3 linked regions of the Cricetulus griseus genome follow. The protein of the gene in region 1 interacts with the protein of each later gene in a pairwise test. Links are inferred from orthologs where the notes say so. Each region holds a gene or a part of one and is shown on either strand. Other genes may lie near its edges.

What was found. The genes of interacting proteins can lie anywhere in the genome.
Region 2: the proteins of Apip (region 1) and Tnpo2 interact in binary tests that used the Homo sapiens proteins (3 or more experiments, as listed by UniProt). The two-hybrid records come from large-scale screens. The link is inferred for Cricetulus griseus from reciprocal best matches to the Homo sapiens genes APIP and TNPO2.
Region 3: the proteins of Apip (region 1) and Pdzd4 interact in a two-hybrid assay, tested with the Homo sapiens proteins (2 studies listed by BioGRID and IntAct). The two-hybrid records come from large-scale screens. The link is inferred for Cricetulus griseus from reciprocal best matches to the Homo sapiens genes APIP and PDZD4.

What each region holds. Positions count from the first base shown.
Region 1 is NC_048599.1:74,576,817-74,583,166, reverse strand, and holds the start of Apip (methylthioribulose-1-phosphate dehydratase), read left to right. Parts: upstream 1-2,307; 5' UTR 2,308-2,407; coding exon 2,408-2,461; intron 2,462-6,350. Other genes in the region: Pdhx (pyruvate dehydrogenase protein X component, mitochondrial), read right to left, coding at 1,909-2,068. UniProt on the Homo sapiens protein: Catalyzes the dehydration of methylthioribulose-1-phosphate (MTRu-1-P) into 2,3-diketo-5-methylthiopentyl-1-phosphate (DK-MTP-1-P).
Region 2 is NC_048596.1:159,328,243-159,334,580, forward strand, and holds the start of Tnpo2 (transportin-2), read right to left. Parts: upstream 3,677-6,338; 5' UTR 3,524-3,676; intron 3,333-3,523; exon of another isoform or gene 3,210-3,332; intron 3,093-3,209; exon of another isoform or gene 2,941-3,092; intron 2,862-2,940; exon of another isoform or gene 2,726-2,861; intron 2,160-2,725; 5' UTR 2,147-2,159; coding exon 2,048-2,146; intron 304-2,047; coding exon 228-303; intron 145-227; coding exon 1-144. UniProt on the Homo sapiens protein: Probably functions in nuclear protein import as nuclear transport receptor. Serves as receptor for nuclear localization signals (NLS) in cargo substrates.
Region 3 is NC_048604.1:1,914,058-1,920,425, reverse strand, and holds the start of Pdzd4 (PDZ domain-containing protein 4), read right to left. Parts: upstream 3,677-6,368; coding exon 3,617-3,676; intron 1-3,616.

The sequences.
Region 1 (6,350 bases):
ATCCTTATCAGAGGTCTCTGTCACAATATCCAAAACCATGAAATATGTTACATATATAACAAGAGAGAATGAAGATGTATGTGGAACTAAGGTCATTATCAACTGGTTTTGAGATAGGGAAAACATCCAATATCCATGTGGGCACACCATAGCAACAAGACTTCTTCATCCCCCTGATGGAAGGAAGACAGGAGGAGTGGCAAGAGAGATAGACTAGCCATTACTGAGCTGGAAGGTAGACAGAAATTAGGAGCCCATGAATTTAAGAAGCCCTTTGAAGCTGGAAAAATAAACCAAAAAAAAAAAAAAAAAAAAAGACCCCACAAAACACACACAAAAAAAAAACCAAGGAAACAGAATGTCTACTAGAACCTCCAAAGAAGGCAGGCTCAACTAGACACCTTGATGTCAGCCTGATGACATCCATTTTATGCTTCTGACTCCAAGAACTTTAAGATGATGAATTTATGCTTTAAGTTGATAGTGGCAGCAATGATAAGAAACTACTCATTCAGTACCATCTTCCTTACAGATGATGCTTAGAGACAAGTTGTTCAAGGTGTCTGTCTGGAGGGTGAGGAACAGGCAAAATGTCAAGATTTATCTGTTGGAAACTGCCTATGTGAATTTCTAAAGGCAGAAGCAATCGACTGTAAGGAGATCTTGGAAACTGCCCATTTTTGTATGCAAGCACATAAACTCTTTTTTTGTTAGAGTTTAGGGCATTCAGATGCTCAAAAATATTTCACAAGCAAGGGTAAGACCCTTCACAGGCAATTCCACCCAGTTCTAAGCTTGTAACATTCCATGATGTTTTGAGGCAGGGAGTCTCAAAAGTCTTGATCCATCAAGACTTACAAAGTGTAAGGAGCAGATTCCTAAGCATCCCTGAGTCAACGTTTCAGCTAAATGTAGGAAAGTTCAATTTTCACAAATGAGGATGAGGACGGGGCAGAGAAAACAGTATACACTACATTGTTAAAGACCACTATCAAGGGGCATTTATTAAACATCATACCAAAAATGACTTAGGTTAATTCCCATTACCCACTCTTTAGGAACCCCAAAGCACCCACTTTACTCTATAAGCTGTGTTTTTGTTTTTGTTTTGTTTTCTGGGCCTCAAACACCTCTGAAAGTGTGGACAATGCCTATTTCACCAGATGGTGCTAAGAATGATGACTTACATCTCTAATGATTCTGAAAAACGTCATCTCTGTCCCTCTAAACCCCAGCCCATACTCACACATGTAAGAAAGGTCCTGCCATTTGATATTCTGTATGTTAAATAATGGAAGAACAGTGGGTTTATCTCCGAGTCCAATACCATTACTTAAGAGCAATTTTATGCAAGAGCTTGTATGAATCTCATGCTACATGTTTTACTTGAAACATTCTGGTCATGTCTGTGATTCTGTATTTCTAATTTAAGTCTTGTATGCTGCAAAGGAGCCATTAAATGGAATTAAGATTCAAGGTTTCACAATAAGGACAGGCCCTTTGAATGAATAAGGATGGGTAACAGTGTATGGTCATCTTTATTACGATAGAGATGAATGATGAAACTAAAGGAATCTGACATGTGACTGAAAAGGGTCTAAAATAGGGGATTTAAAACAGACCCCATCTCGGTAACATCTAAATAAACTCAAATTCCAAAGCAAGGTCACAGAGAAGCCATATAGCCCTGGAGGCCAAGGACCGAGTCAAGCTCTACCAAGTCTGAAGACGGTCCTTTGCCGCAAGGCTTGCCATAGGCTAATTCAGGAGACCCGTTCTGGGGGAGGTTGAAGGGAACGGGGAGACTCGGCACCTACACTCACAAAAGCGGGTCCCCAAACAAGAACACCCCGATCCAGGCCCATTGCTCAGCTAAAGAGAGAAGTTCAACGAGCGCCAGCCACTCACCCTGCAGCGGCTGAGCGCCATGAAACCACCTCCAGCTCGCTCCACGGCCGACAGGCCACGCTGCAGCACCCTGAGCCCGGCCCAGGCTTCGACGGCTGCCGAAGCCCAGGAGGTAACGTAGCAGCGGCAGGTCACAGCGAAGCCTCCAGGAGGCCGCCATCTTCCCGGCCTTCTCCGGGACGGCTTACAGCGCGGATAGACCGGCGGCCTCAAGGACCGCCCAGGCCCCGCCTTGCATGGGCTAGCCCCGCCCACAGGGCGCGCTCCGCACCTTAGGACTCGAGGACTATCGTTCTAACACCGCCTCCAACCCTCATGGGCACGCCCACCAGCTGGTCTGCGCCGGCGCAGGTTCTCCTAATGGACGAGGCCCTATGAGATCCCGCCTCTCGCTCTTGCTCCGCCCCCAGGCTGCCCTCTCTGCCGCTTAATAGCGTTCTTGCCAGGAGTCTTGGCCTGGAAAGAGCGCGCGGCGGGTAACCCAGCGCAGGTCAGGGCCATGTCTGGCTGTCACGCTCAAGGAAACTGTTGCTCGCGTCCCTGCGGCGTGCAGGTAAGGACAGCGGTCTGCGATACACAGGGTGGGGTTTCGATCGGGCATTCTAGATGCCTGATCCCCAGCTCAGTCCGCGCCAGTCCGAGGTCCCTCCTTACCCGTAGTGGGGTGCTCAACCTGAACTGCCCAGGCTCCTGGAAGACAGCACCTGTTTTTGAGTTGTCCTTGTTTGCCTTACTTGACATTATGAAATGGGAAATCGTGGAAGTGATTCTTCTTTAAGGCAAATGGGCCCTCGGGGTGCATGGGTTTTTCTTCCGGTTAAACACGCCACAGTCTATGGAATGCCTTCTAGGTGCTAAGAAAATGGTGATCAAGAGAACTAAAGCCCTGCAGAAGACTAAGGGGGAAGTGCACGGAATTATCTCCTTTTATTAGCCTGTATTTAGGCCTAAGGTCTCAATTAAAAGTAAAATACAGGAAATTTTTGGTGCAGAGAATTTGTGAACTGTTATTGTCTTTGAATAAATGGCTTTCCCCAAATTCATAAAGAAAACCTTGGCTGGGCGGTGGTGGCACAGCACTCTGGAGGCAGAGGCAGGTGGATCTCTGTGAGTTCAAGGCCAGCCCGGTGTACACAACAAGTTCCAGGACAGGCTCCAAAGCTACAGAGAAACCCTGTCTCGAAAAAAAAAAACAAAACAAAAAGAAAGAAAGAAAGAAGGAAGGAAGGAAGGAAGGAAGGAAGGACGGAAGGAAGGAAGGAAGGAAGGAAAGAAAACCTTGTAGTTAGGCAAGATTGAGAGGGAGATCTTGCATATAAGACACATTCATTGGTGGCCATCCCTAGGCAGGTGTATGAGGAAACTAGAAGCGAAATATAAGAATCATTGCTAAGATGTCTCCATAGCACAAGTGTTTAAGTCTGCCGATTAGTAAATCTTGGTGAAGGTCATCATAGACATACAGATTTTTATTTTCATCTTAAGTATTGTGCCAGGTTGGTAAGATAAACTGTGATCCAAGTGTGAATGAATTTACCAATACAAAAATTAGCCACACACAAATAAGAAGCTGAAGGTATTTGTCATAAACAGAAGAAGAGGAAGGTAGTTTCAGATAGTGATTCATGAGAAACTTTATGAATACCTAGCATTTTAGAATGACCCAGATTTTGAGGAAACCCAAAAGAAAACTCTAAGGCCACCTTGACTGGAGATCCCATCACATGTCTCTAGCTTTTTCTTGCTGTGTGGGGGTATGGACTCACTGTTAAATTCTGCCTTTTTAGAGGGAAACTAGAAAGTCACATTTTGTGTGAAATCTCTTGATTTAAAAGTGTTGACTTGGGCGGGGCAGTGGTGGCGCATGCCTTTAATCCCAGCACTTGGGAGGCAGAGGCAGGCGGATCTCTGTGAGTTTGAGACCAGCCTGGTCTATAAGAGCTAGTTCTAGGACAGCCTCCAAAGCCACAGAGAAACCCTGTCTCAAAAAACAAAACAAAACAAAAAAAGTATTGACTTGCGTTCTATGTATTGTATAGCTCAAATAAACTATTTGTGAGTCTGATTTGGTCCATGTCCTAGTTAGGGTCACTGTTGCCGTGGTGAAACACCATAATCAAAGCAACTTGGGGAGAAAAGTGTTTATTTGGCTTACACTTCACATCAGGAAGTATAAGGACAGGAACTCTTAACAGGGCAGGGACCCAGAGGCAGGAACTTACGCAGAGGCCACAGAGGGGTCCTGCTTATTGGCTTGTTCTTCGTTGCTTGCTCAGTCTGCTTTCTTATGGAACCCAGGACCATCAGTTCAAGGATGACTCCACTCACAATGTGCTGAGCCTTCCCCCATCAATTGCTAAGAAAAGTCCTACAGACTTGCCTTCAGCCTGATCTTACAAAGGCATTTTCTCAGAGAAGGTTCCCTTCTCTCAGATGAGTATAGCTTGTGTCAAGTTTGATGTCAAGTTGATGCTAGTTTGATGTCAAGTCTGTGACATCAAACTAGCCATCACAGACACATAACTACTTTTTCTCTTGGTTAGTTTATATGTCTTTTAAGACTTAGTTATGTGTTACCTGCTTGGAAGTCTTCACCAGCAGGGCATAAAAGCGGCCAGCATAGACCACAAGATACAAATTTGAACCCTTTGATATAAGCCTTTTCTTAATGTAAGAAATGTGATCTTCGTTCATCCAGTGTTTATTGAGGAAAGCACTGTAGTAGGTGTAGCTTATGAAGAACATGTTTCTTAATCCTTAGAAAGTTAAGCTTAGAGAGAAAACCCAGGAAGGCATCACTTTTATTTTTTTTATTTTGCCTTACCTATCATGGTGTCATATATAATGACTGTAAGGTTCGATCTGATTAGGTCTGATTCAGTTCCTTCTTTTGTGTCAGAGATCATCAGAAAAGTTATTAAGAACACATAGCACAACGGGGTTAGAATAGAGGTCAGTCCCAAGAAACACAGCAGGGTTTCCCCTCTTATGGGGTTCTGAAAACAGAGAAGACCCATGTGACTAGTAGGTATTTGCAATAAGTTTGCCTCTGATTCCCTGGACTGAGGACAGGGAAAACATTTGGTCCTTTATAACTTCACAATCACAGCAGAGTATTTGTCATTTCCCTATGGCCATGAGAATGATGGAGTCGCTGTAGGGTACCTGCTGGCAACTAGGAGGTGGAGGTGGGGGCAGCTTCAGGTGGACAGTGGCCCTGGTTCTGTACTAATGCTACAATCAAAGACCGTATAAATCCCTGCCTCCTGTTTTCCTTGATCTCAGCATTCTGCCAACGCTTACCTCCCTTCACTCAGTCCCCACAACCCCCAACTCCTGGCCATATCTGCCCTGACCAATCCCTATCTGTTCATCACACACACTTTTCTTTCTCATACCTATTTTTACCCCTATGTGCCCTCATTTGAGTATCCTTTACACTGTGTGGCAACTAGTACCGTTTCTTGAATTTCTCTTCCCTAAGCTGCTGAGAACTTATAACAGGGAAGGATAGGTCAGCTCTATGAATTGGTAAATCTACACACACATTATAGTGCCCTGCCCTGTGTGCTGTCCCTCTGGGGAGCTACCTTTCATGCTGTTTTAGGTGGTTATTCCAAAACCTTACCATCTCTCTTCATCTCATGCCCCAAACCTGTTGCCCTGGAATTGCAATGACGGGAAAAGCTGTTAGATATAAACTTTTCAACTTCAATGTCTTCCTTTTTCCATCTACAGTATAATTTTAAAGTAAAGGAGTGGGTATCTATATCCATATTGCCGGGATTTCAAATCTTAGCTCATCTTTTAGTATAATAGGGTCTGTGTAAGGATAAAGTAGCCTGACATACTGTCCTAACAGTCACAGAACAAACACTACCCTATTGCTGGTAGTATCATATTTACCTGCATCCTCATTCTTCCCCTGGTTGAAGTCAATTACCTCCCTGTTCTCCTAATCTCTGTTTCTCTTCCCCCACTCAAGAGAAGTTAGGCCTTAGCTCTCCTATGCCTTCAGTCACTTCTTGTCCTCTAACTCTGCCTCTTAGCATATGCTATCATTTGAATGTTGAATATCCCCAAATGCCTATATGGGAAAGGCTTATTCCCTAGGTTTGCACCATTTGGAGGTAGAAGCACCTGTACAAGATGGGACTAGTGAGAGATCCTATGTCATTGGGCATGCGACCCCAAAGGGCATGCTGCACCCTATGTACCTTCTTCTTTTGTCTCCTGACCATTCGGTGAGCCATTAGTGCCACTGTGCGCTTTACCATGGATACCCTGCACCCCACCAAAGGCCTAAAAGTAATAGACCCGGCTAATCATGGACTGGATTATAAAACTGAGCCAGAATAAACCTTTTCTTGTGATAATTGCCCCCAGGTAGTTTGTTACAGTGTCTCAAAAGCGATTACTACTACATATTATAGGAAATTGTT
Region 2 (6,338 bases), on another chromosome or scaffold:
TGGCTCGGATGAGAGAGGAGGCATCGCCTATGTTGTTGAGACACTCCTGTTTGATGAAGTCAGCCACAGGAGGCGGGAAGCTCTGGTAATGCGCCTTCACATTATTCTTGAGGATGAGGCCACTCAGAGAGCGGGTTGGCTCATCTGTGGGAAAAGTGCTAAGGTCAGAGGGCTGTGGCATGAGAAGAAGCAAGATCTAGCACAGTGTGGAGGGACAGAGAACATACCTTCTGATTTGAGTCTGGTCAGGACGAAGATCAGATAGTTGTTGAAGTCAGGAAACTGGTTGAGTTGTTTAAGTTTCTGTCAAGCTGTTAAGGGACTTAGAAAGTCAGGTGTATTGGGGCACGCCTGAGATCCCAGAACTAGGGAAGCTGAGGCCAAGATCTTGAATTCCTGGCCAGCATGGACTATATCCCATGATTTTGGCTCTAAAAAAAAAAAAAAAAAAAAAAAAAAAAAAAACCCCGAGAGATAGGAACTTTTCCTAGGCAATATTCTCTCACTGCCACACGGCTCAGAATGTGAGAGACCAATGCAATTAGGCAGTCAGTTCCAGGGATGGCACTCATCAATCACTATCCCTACAGCACCACAGGGCCTTTTCAGGAGAACCAAGTCCATACATGTACAGGGTACATGTCTGAGCTTTCTGCACCATCCCTTTACCAGAGCAGGAGTAGATTGGAAAAGTCTACTCCTCTTAAAAGGGCAGCTGCTACTCATTTCTGATCTTGACACTCCAATGATGCCTGCTTTTCTCAACCAGAATGGAAGGCTGTCTGGGTGTGGTACAAGCCTTTAACCCTAGCACTGGGGAAGTTGAGGCAGGAAGGTCAGACTGAGTTCAAGGCCAACTTGAGCTACATATTCAGTTCTTATTCTGTTAAATGGAGAAATGTTGACTCAAAAGAGCAGTACAGAGATACAGCTCAGTGGTAAAATGCATAGACAAGGCCATTCGGTCTCCAGCCACAAGAGAGGAGAAAGAATGGTTGAAAATCCAGGGAACAGGACTCAGGGATGCGGCTCAATGGGAAAATATGTGGCCAGCAAGCTTCTGGCCTTTTCATCCTCAACACCACAAGAAATGGTAGGGGACTTGTCCCATTTTCAAGTGAAAACTTGATATTGTTCAAATATTTGAGACAGGGTCTACATAAGTCCAGGCTGCCCTCAAACTATGAGATTCAACTTGCCTCTACCTCCTGAGTGCTGTGATTAAAGGTATATGCCACCATGACCATTTCATTTAAAAATCTGAACTCATTATTCTAATTTGCTTCTCTGCTGCTGTGATAATACACTGACCAAGAGCCAAGGCAGGGAGTAAAGAGTTTGTTTTAGCTTATCATGGAGAGAAGTCCCAAAGCAGAAAGCTGTTTACTGGTTCTTTCCCAGACTCACTGTTTACTGGCTCCTTCCCAGAGTCACCTTCTTCTACAGCCCAGGTTCACCCAACCTGGGATAATATCCACAATAGGCTGGGCTGGGCTGGGCTGGGCTGGGCTGGGCTGGGCTGGGCTGGACAGCAGGCCTGCCAGCATCAATTATCAATCAAGAAAACGCCCCACAGGCCATTCTGATGGAGGCAATTCTTCAATTGAAGGTCCTTCTTCATAGATGTATCAAATTGACAACAAAACTAACCAGGATACTTATATACTTAACAAGCAGCTAGAAAAAAAGTTTTCTGCCACAAACATGCTGCAACTCCATCGTCCCTCCCCATCTATGAGATGGCTGAGCTTCTCACCTTGGTTTCTAGCTGAGGCTTATCCAAGGTATTTTCCCCATCCTAAGCCTCCAGGTTCCCATCACTCACTCTTAACAGTTAAAGGATTAAGTGCTCAGTGACCATCAGGCATTCCCATCATTTTTTGCACCTCTGGAACTGGAACCCAGGGATCTAAGCCTTTAATTCTCATCTCATGTCACGTTCTCTCTTGCAGCAAAGTCTCGGGGACAAGAAGTGGTCCCTCCCTCTCTAGCCTTCACGAGGTGCAGACATCAGCCCTATTCCATCAGCTCCGGAAGGAAAGGATACATCCTGCACAATGCGCTGAGTAGCTGTGTTGGGCGACTGCGAGTCTTTGAGAAGCTGCAAGACCTGCTGCAGGCCCTGCTCGTCTGGCTGCCAGTCCATGGCGCAAGGCGAACTGCAGAGGCAGGGGCCTGGGTCAGCGCTGGGTCGCTAGGGTTCTGTGTGAGACCCAAGCTGAGTCCCCAAAGCAGAGGCGGCTGCATGCAGACGCAAGCACGCTCCGCGGGCAAGCGGAGGCCTCTGATCCGCGCCTGTCCAAGTGCCGGGTCCCCGCCAGCTAAGCCATCTCGGCCACGCAGTCGCGGGCTCGGGGGGTGCGGGGGGATATAAATGCCAGCCATCGGGAACTGTGGCGGGGGCGCGACGTGGAACCCTCTTCGCATGGCGGTCCATGCCGCCGCCCCCGGTTACGGGCCCTACGGCTTCCGTCTCCCTCCAGGGGAGGGCCCCACCCCAGCGGTCTTCCAGGTGAAGGCTCGGTCCACGAGGATTCCTTCTCCCAAGATCAAGCCTTCAAGCTCCGCTAGATCCCAGCCGCCTCCTAGGTTCCTGAGCTCCTCTAGGTCCCAAGTGCCTAGATCCTTCTCACCCCTGCTACCTCCCCTAAACCTGCCCTACAAGCTCGGCAGACGCACGTGCCCCTCTTTCTGATCTAGACGCGGCCCAGTGACTCCCCTTTACCAGAATACAAGCAATGTCCCACAGGTCTCCAATGTCTACTTGAACGAGAGCCAGTCAAAACCACCCAGCCGGCGACCAAAGAAAGCCCCCAGAACCTGTGCCCGCTGCCTGCCCCAATCAGATCTGGCCAAGCCTCTCTCGCTCTCACCCTCCCTCCGCCCCAGTCAGCAGTAATTCCTGCTGACGGATCTCTGTCAGCTCCCCAATCAAGTTACCTTAAGCCCCCGACCACCGCGTGTCAGAGACCCCATCTGTCCAATCCCTGCAGCTTCCCCCAAAGAGTCCCACACAAACACTCGCCCGGAGCGCTACCCTCAACGGATCCCAACACCGCCTCTCAGTCAGACCCACCAAGGCCCTCTGGGTTTTTTAAGTCTGACGCCCCTCCCTATCAGGACCTAACAACCCACCCCCCTCAACTTTCAAAGCTGTCTTTCCCAATCAGACCCAACCAAACCCCACCGGCACAGATTGCCCCACACACCCGATCCTCGAGACGTCCCCCGACGATTTCCCCCAATCAGGGCCCCTCCAGCCCGACCCCAGCCGCCCCACTGGCCCGCATCTCGTGGCACCCAAACCTGCCCGGGCGCCGAGGCCCCACCCCCTGAGGTCGGCTCAGCTCCCCCTCCCCCGCCCGGCCCGTTCTGCCGGCCTCGAGAGCTGGCCCAACCCGGTTCCCCGCCTCTCAGCCGGGCGCGACCCCGACGCCTGGGCGGCACGCAACGCAGACCCAGAACCCAGGGAGGCTCGAGAGAGCTGAAGCCAAGGAGCCCCGGCCGAGCGAGGTCCACCTACCAGGCCCCGGAAGGCAGCGGCGGCGCCTAAGTGCTGCAGCTTCTCCAGAGGCTCGCGCGGAAGGAGGGAGCCAAAGCCAGGGAATTAAAAAAAAAAAAAAAAAGAAAAAAGAAAAAAAAAAAAAGAAAACGCGGCCGAAATGAATAACTTCGGCTTCCGTAGGCCGTTCAAACTGGCCTAGCCAAGCCAATGGGAGGACGCAGCACTCCCATGTGATCTGGCAGAGTGGCCAAAGCCTTTGCTGGGTCACGTGACAGGATAAGTGCCGCCTCTAGGCCTCTCTGGCCGTTAGGTCCTCCCAACATCTCGTTTCCTTTTTCTTACTGCAGCTTTCTTCCATTCTTTTTAAATGTGTATTTCCTGAACCATGTGAGTGCAGTGCCGTGGGGACCAGAAGAGGATATTGGACATCCCCCTGGAACTGGAGTTACAGATGGTTGTGAGCCCATATGGATGCTGAAATCAAACCTGGGTCCTCTGTAAGAGAAGCCAGTACTTTTTAACCATTGGGCTATCCCTCCGGCCCTCCAGACTGCAGCTTGTTGCTGGAGCTAGAAAATTGCAAGTACGTGGGTGCTTCCGGTGTGTAATGCGCCTAGGAATCTCACAATCCCCAGCTAACTGCGTCCTTACTACACTCTCTAAAAATTAAACTGTTCTCAGTCCGGCGTGGCGACCCATAAGACTGTAATCTCAGGACTGGGGGAGAGAGACGGCAGAGAGATAGGGAGTAAGGCAACAGTATACCGTCCCAGGAAAGCCTGGGCTATAACATGAAATTCTTTCGTCAAAAAAAGCCCTGTCTTGGAAAAAAACTAAAATGGTTGTTTCTCTTCAGTTCCCTTATACAGCATTCGGTCCACTCTCGAATAAAGAGCAAGACACGCAGCTTGAGGTGGATGTTATACCAGAGACACGAGCAACTCTGTTCTTTGTTATTGTCCAATACCGCAACACTTTTACATGGTCCTAGGAAAACCACAAAGCTATAACTTTTTAAATTTATGTATGTGGATGTTTTGCCTAATGTGAGTCCAATGGCAGTGAATGGATCTCCTGAACTAGAGCTACCAGATAGTTGTGAGCTGTGCTGGCACTCGAACCTGGGTCCTATGGAAGAGCAACAAATGCTCTCAACCTGCTAAGTCAACTCTCCAGCCCCCTGCTATAACTTTTCAAATAAAATGATCTAGTAAATTCGAACAGAAGACCTAATCCCTTTCCCTACCTGAAGACAGAAGTAAGATGAGAGCTCTTGCCCAGAGAATTTAGGCAACGGCAGTATCATAAATGCTTCTGAAACCAGTAGAGCACTGTTTTTCCATTCCAGCTGCAAAGCATAGTAGTCCAGAATTGGGGACCCAATTCTAACTTCCTATCTTCTTCCCTTCCTAGTCCGGTCGCTGATAAGGGGCTCGCTCTGTCCTGCCATTCGCCTCCATTTCAGTGGATATTATATAATTTGCTCCATTACAGACAGTCCAAGTTAAACTTGGGCAACAGATCGCAATTATTCTTTGAAAATTTGGCTTCTAGCACACCTCAATATTGCCCGTTCATTGTCTTCGCGCCCTGCCAATATTTACTAAGTCAACCAGGACTAATTCCAAAGGACAACCAAGCCCTGCCCTAAATTTTATTGACCTTCAGGTGAGGCACAGGGCTAGGTATACCTCAAACGGAAAAGAGAAACAATTCAGCACACTTTCCCATTAGCACAGTCTCGGTAACGCTCAATCACTCACGAAACACAAGAACTGGAGCCCCTTACTAGGCTCGGTTGAGAGAATCAAGGGAAAGCTCCCGAATAGGATAGCTAAAAATTAATATAAACAGAAACCCTCCTTAAAAGACACGTGCGACAAGCGGCCCTGCACATGCGCAGAGCTTTCTCTCCTGCCCCGCTAGTAGTCAACCACATCTGTGACCCTCGAAACTACAAGTCCCAAGGTGCTGTGCGTCCAGGACGCCAAAAGCGATTTATTCGTGGTGCTGGGCTAGTCCCTCGGAAGACTCCAGGGAGGGTTAAATTTGTTTTTTTCATCTTCTTTTTCTTGGGAGTGGGTGTGTGTTTGATCAAACATGGGCATTGATTCCGAGTAGAGGACATGTGGAGTAAGTATGGACTGCAAACCGTTTGATACTTTTTTAAAAATGTGTTCAAATGGCATGTGACAACTTCCACAGCTGGTTCTCACTGTGGGTACTAGAGACTGAACTCATGTCTTCAGGCATTTGTGCGTGCTCCTTGATCCACCAGGTCATCTCACTGCCACCCCCCTTTTTTTTTTGGAGACAGGGTTTCTCTGTATTGTTTTGGAACCTGTCCTGGAACTTCCTCTGTAGACCAGGCTGGCCTCGAACTCACAGAGATCCGCCTGCTTCTGACTCTCTAGTGCTGGGATTAAAGGCGTGCGCCACCGGCCCATTCTTAAAATCTCTTGCAGAGCGGGGGCGTTGGTGGCGAACGCCTTTAATCCCAGCACTCGGGAGGCAGAGGCAGGCGGACCGATGTGAGTTCAAGGCCAGCTTGGTCTCCAGAGGGAGTGCCAGGATGGGCTCCAAAGCTACACAGAGAAACCCTGTCTCGAAAAACAAACAAAAAAATCTCTTGCTGAGGCAGGGTCTACCTGTGTTGCCCAAGCTGGCCTCCAACGTGCAAACTTCTTGCCTTATCCTCCTGAGGGCACAAGTGTGACCACAAGAGAGTTTTTAATCAGGACAAGTTTCCTGACCTGTTTTTTGCTATTTTGATCCAGTGTTTTCTTTCCTGTATTGCCCAGGCCAATGTTAACCCACCTCAGCCTTCTCGATA
Region 3 (6,368 bases), on another chromosome or scaffold:
GTTCCAGGACAGGCTACAAAGCTACACAGAGAAACCCTGTCTCAAAAAAAAAAAAAAAAACCAAAAATGTATTTCTATGTTTTGGCAATGAGAAAGACAAGATGAAATTTAGAAAACAATTCCGAGTCAGACATAATGTCTCATATACAGGCAAGAAGACTGTTATAAATTCAAGCTCAGCCTGCTACACAGTAAATTCTAGACCAACCTGGGATAGACTTAGGCTGCTTTAAATAGAAATTCCACTTACAATAGCATCAAAAACAGTAAGATACTTGGGCTAGAGAGATGGCTTATCAGTTAAGAGCACTGGCTTCTCTTGTAGAGAACCCAGGTTCAGTTCCTGGCACCCACATGGCTTACAAATGTCCATAATGCCATTCCAGGGGTTCCTCCAGTCCCAGGTGTTCTGATGCCCTCTATAGCCTCTGAAGGCACCCGATTCATACACAATTAAAATGATGATGATGATAATAAATCCTAACATAAATTTAACAAATTAAACAGGCCATATTTGAAATATAAATGTGGCCCAAATAAACAGGCAATACTACCATCTGATCTATGGATTCAATTTCACCTAATCAAAATCCCAGTTAATTTTCAGAAAACAAGCTGATTCCAAAATTCACAAGGAAATAAGGGACCCAACAGAGCCAAAACAACCTTTTAAAAGATAAAAGTTGGGGCTGGAGAGATGGCTCAGAGGTTAAGAGCAGTGACTGCTCTTCCTGTGTCCCGAGTTCAATTCCCAGCAACTACATGGTGGTTCACAACCATCCGTTATGAGATCTGGTGCCCTCTTCTGGTGTGCAGATATACATGGAAGCAGAATGTTGTATACATAATAAAATGTTTTAAAAATGATAAAAGTTGGAGGACCAACTAGTTCCTAACTTTAATACTTCCTAGAATGCTCCACCACAATGGACAGACTTTTGCAAAGTGGATATGTAAATGAACAATAAGCACAAGAAAAAATTGCTCTACAGCATTTAGCCAACAGATATGCAAATCATCAAATCCCCAGCACTACATCTAGCAAACAAAAAACCATAAAACTGCCACTTTATACCCACCCATAAGCTAGCTACATGCGATCACCAGAAAAGTACAAGTGTTGATAAGCATGTGGAGAAATTAGAACTCTTATACATTTCTGGTGTTAGTGTTAAATGGTACTATCACTCAGAAGAAATGGGTGGGAATTACTATATGATGCAGCAACTCCATTTTTAGGTATTACTCAAAAGAATTGAAGGCAGGGAGGGATTCAGACATTTGTATACCAGTATTCATTGTAGCATTTTCCACAATAGGCAAAAAAAAGCACTAAATTGTACTCTTTGAAAAGATACATTGTATGGCCTGTGAGTTTGATGTCAATAAAGCTATGTTTTTCTTTTAAGTTCTAGTGTGTCATGGTGAGAAAGTCTCTACCAGCAAGTTGCAGAAGCCATGAGTTGATATGAAGTCACTTTGAAAGAGACAGGGAGAAGGGCACTCAATATGGGGCAAGTGCGCATGTTTATGGGAACTCTCCTGAGGCCTATGAACATCCCTTTCTCACAAGCTCCTCACCTGGGCTACCAAATAGCTTTCACAGCTTTCCATAGTTTCTACAGTCACTCCTTTTGTTTTTACTTAATTTGAAAGGATAACTATGCCTTTAAAGACCAGCTGGTCTGCCAAGAACCAAGAAAATGAAAGTTTGTGTCCTAATTTTAAAGAAGTAGCATCCCATGGGAGCTGAGCACAGAGGATTAAGGCTGCTCTGCAGGGGCCTCCCTTCTAGCCAGACACCTACTGGAAGGCAAGTCCTTTCCGTGAGAGGTGGGGCTCTCTTTTAAGAAGTCCAGCAGGGACTCCCCCACCTAGGGTGGCATCAACTTTCAAGCCCATTAAAACCCCAATAGAGGTAGCCCTAGTTCTGAAATCCAATGGGTTTCACTGAACCCTTTTTCGGTTCCAAGCTAGATCATTCCAGATTCTTATCCCACTAGAAGGATGGCAACAGACAGGTGAGGGAGGTGAGGGCTTCAAACAGTGGGAACAAGAGAGGAGAAACAGTGATGGGGAGGATTTGCCTGAGAGAATAATTAGGGAGGACAGAAAAAGGGAGACCAGAGCCAAGTAGAAGAGACCAGAAGCCCTAACAGGCTGAAACAAGAGCACCACCAACCTAGGGCTCTATGCCTACCATCTCTTGCCCATTATTTACTATTCCTGCTAGAAATGAAGATAAGATCACAGCAAGAATGATGGGCTCCCGAAGCCACCTCAATACCATCCCACTATTATGATTGACACCATCTCCCCTGCTACTCCCGCCAAGTTCCTAAAAGGAGTTTATTTTATTCAGTCCAGGAGTCTACAGGTTCTCTCAGAGCCAACATCTCCTGTGCACACTTGTTCCCTGGTTCTGATCAACAAACTCAGTAGCTGAGGCACAAGTCACTAAACTCACCTGTCTGCGCCCACATCTGCTCCTGCTCCTAACTTCCTTTGATCTCCACCTCTCTACACTTAGCCCTTGTGCATCTCAGTGAACACCATCTGGGACACATTTATCTAAACAACTCGCAGGGTGTACACAAAAAGTACACACGCGCGGAGCTGGAGAGCCTCCACACACAGAGACAGGGCACAGGCACGCACTCACGTAGTTACTGCACGCACAGGCAAGGAAACCCAATCGTGGCTGAGGGGCTGAGAACAAGGATGCAGCAGGGTGTCTCTTCCCGCCCTGCACGTGTTGCTCGCATCGCCCCTCTTGTACCCAAGGCCCAACAGGCCAAAGCAGATGCCAACAGGCAGAGTGAATACTGGGCACCACCGATCCCGACGTTACCCAGTCACCCAAGATGCCAGGAATCGACAGTCATGACTGCATCAGACCAGAGAGTTGGGTGCGAGAATCAGTACCCAAACCCAGCTCGGTTGTCTACTTATTGAGTCTGTCCTCCCAGGGCATGATTTTCCCTCTGGCCTGCGGGAACTGTACAGTTTTTTTTGTGTGTGTGTGTGTGTGTGTGTGTGTTGATTTTTCGAGACAGGGTTTCTCTGTATAGCTTTGGAGTCTATCCTGGCACTCGCTCTGGAGACCAGGGTGGTTTCGAACTCACAGAGATCCTCCTGCCTCTACCTCCCGAGTGCTGGGATTAAAGGTGTGCGCCACCAACGCCCGGCTACAGCTTCTTTGGTTCTGGGTCCAACCAGGGGAGCATGTGCCCAGATCCAAGCTCGTTGCTATGCAACCTTCATCCCGCACGGGCCACAGAGCATCTCTCAGTCCTGAGACAGAATTCCCTTAACTTCCCACCCGGGCTGATGTGGACAGACGTTCGTTGTCCTTATGTACCTGGTTGGGATGCCTGGTGATGTGTCTCGAACACTTATCTCCCCCGTTCATTACATCCCTGGCTGGTTCCTACAGGGCATCAGCAACCATCAAACCATCCATCATATGAGGGTGAGATCGACTCCCTACCTTTTCCTCTCTGAGCGCTCTCTCCCTCCCACACCTGCTTCTCCGCCTCCACGTGGCCCTCCCCTGGGGTTTACAGTTTTCCTTGGCCCGACTGAGCCCCTGGCCCCAGCAGCGCAGGCACCCTACCTGAAGCATCACTTTGTATTGCTCCTCCGGTTTCTGGACTACGCACATATTACATCCCATGGTGCTGGCCGGCGAGGGAAAGAAGAGGGCGGGAAAAGGAAGGCGTCTTTCACTGGCCGGTGCGTGGGACCGCGGGGCCCGGGACCTGGCCCTGGGCCATACCCTACCGCGGGGGGCCAAGCCGCCTAGCAGGGAAGGGAGGCACGCCCCCAAGAGGAAGGCAGCTCCACGCCCCTCGACTTAACTCTTTGCTGGCCGAAGCCAGACACAGGCATGCTCCCTCGTACCCAGGCAGGAAAAAAAGGGCAGCGGGGGATGGGCGGGCGCGCCACGCGTTGCCTGGCTACGCCCCCCCCAGGAGGCGTGGGAGCACGCCTGGCCGCTATGGCCGTCAGGGGCCGTGGGCCACGCGCCTCTCCGCCCACGGGGCCCGCCGCTGTCGCTGCCTTTGCAGCTGCCGTCCCCGGCTCCCGCCCATGGCCTTCAGCCCCGGAGCCCAGCCTCCACGCGAGGCGCTGCGGGCCGGCCCGCCAGCAGAGGGGCGGCCAGGCCCTCGCCAACTGCAGCCTCGCAGGGTCCCACTATCTTGAGCTCGCGGCGCCCTCTCAGAGTCTGGCCCGCAGAGGATCGCTGGTCTCCAGCTCCTGCCTGTGACGCCGGGAACGCGCGCGCGCTGCAGCGGCGCCAGGGGAGGTGTACGGGAACGGGGCGCACGCGCGCGGGAGAAGGCAAGGGGCTGGGTGCGGGAGGGAGCGTCTGGGGCGGGGGCGAGAGTCGGCGCGGGAAGCTGGGGGCGGGGTCTGGGTGGTAGGGGCAGTGGAACCCCTGGTACCCGGTGACGCTTGTGTCCTATGGCGAGGTGTTTAGCGGACCTGTCTGCTAGGTGTAGCTCTGAGAAAGAGGGTCCTGTTTGAAGAAGCCTTCCTGGACTGACTGCTGGAAAGAGTTCAGGGCGAGGCTATTTCACCCTTGTCCCAGGTTCTGGACATATCAGCCCTAAAGTCTCCACTCTTCCCTCTGTCTCTCTTTAATGACTGGTTCCCTCCTTTAACTGAGCCATTCCAATGCTGTCTTTGAAAAGAATACCTTTGTTTAGAGAAAAGAAAAAAAAAACATGGACTGCTGTAGGTGCTGAAAGGAGAAGCCTCTTGCTTTGAGACCTTCATGGGCACCGACCTTCCTTGCTCTGGAACTGCTGCCTACCTGTTTCTCAGTTCCAGCCTTCACTCACACTCTTTTAGCTCCCCCCTTTCTACCTCTTCCCTCCCACAGCCTGCTCCTCTTCTAGGATATAATAGAACTGCCAGCACTTGAGAGGCAGATGGATCTCTGAGTTCGAGGCCAGTCTCGTCTACAGAGCGAGGCCTACACAGAAACACTATCACAAAGAGAGACAGACAGAGAGAAGGGTAGTGGTGGCATATGCCTTTAACCCCAGCACTCGGAGCAGAGGCAGGCGGATCTCTGTGAGTTCAAGACCAGCCTGGTCTACAAGAACTAGTTCCAGGACAGCCTCCAAAGCCACAGAGAAACACTGTCTCGAAAAACAAAACAAAAAGGTATTGAGACGTTAGGGGTTAGGCAGACTCCCTGGTAAGTAGGTAGACAGATAGGAGAGGGGCCATGGTAATAAAGGTGGAAATTTCAAAATGAGTGACTTCTTCCTGGCACAATAGGCTGATAGACTGGTTCAACAATTTCAAGGCCTGATCAGGATATATTATACAAGAATTACCTTTTAATTCTTTAACTGGCAGTGAAAACCTGATCAAGGCCCCTAGACTGTATCAGTATCAGACTGCTTTTGTCACTATGGCTGTGTAACACAGTTTGAATTCAGGTGTCAACCTATCAGCAACTTCCTATTTGGGTATCCAGTATCCAGTCCCTCACTTTGCTGCAGTTGCAGCAGAGAGGTTTGGCAAAAATGTACCTCGTGCCTGGGATAGAAGAGATGACTCAGTACATCAGTGATAGACCATTGAGACCCTGTTTTTGGTGTTGTTGGATTCCTATTCTTTGACTCTTTTGGCATGGGAGTGGGGGAATTGCCTCCAAGTTTTTAAAAAAAATCACACACACCGCCGGGCGGTGGAGGTGCACGCCTTTAATCCCAGCACTTGGAAGGCAGAGGCAGGCAGATCTCTGTGAGTTCGAGGCCAGCCTGGTCTACAAGAGCTAGTTCCAGGACAGCCTCCAAAGCCACAGAGAAACCCTGTCTCGAAAAACAAAAACAAAACAAAACAAAAAAATCACACACAGGCTTATTCTTGATTATAAATGCCCAGCCTTAGTCTTAGCTTGGCTTCGTTTTCTTTTTTATGGGGGGGGCTCGAGACAGGGTTTCTCTGTGGCTTTAGAGCCTATACTGGCACTCGCTCTGTAGACTAGGCTGGTTTTGAACTCAGAGATCCTCTTGTCTCTCTTCCCAAGTGCTTAAAAGCATGTACCACCAATGCCAGGCAGCTTGGCTTATTTCTAGCCAGCTTTTCTTTTTTAACACTTACTTATCTATTGTGTATGCAGTGTTCTGCCTGGATGTACGCCTAAACACAAAAAGAAGGTACCAGATCTCATTACGGATGGTTATGAGTCACCATATGGTTGCTGGGAATTGAACTCAGGACCTCTGGAAGAGCAGCCAGTGCTCTTAACCTCTGAGCCATCTCTCAAGCCTCTACCAGGTATTTCTTACATTATTTCATCTACCTTTCGCCTCTAGGCCTTTTCCTTTTCTTACTTCTGCATATCT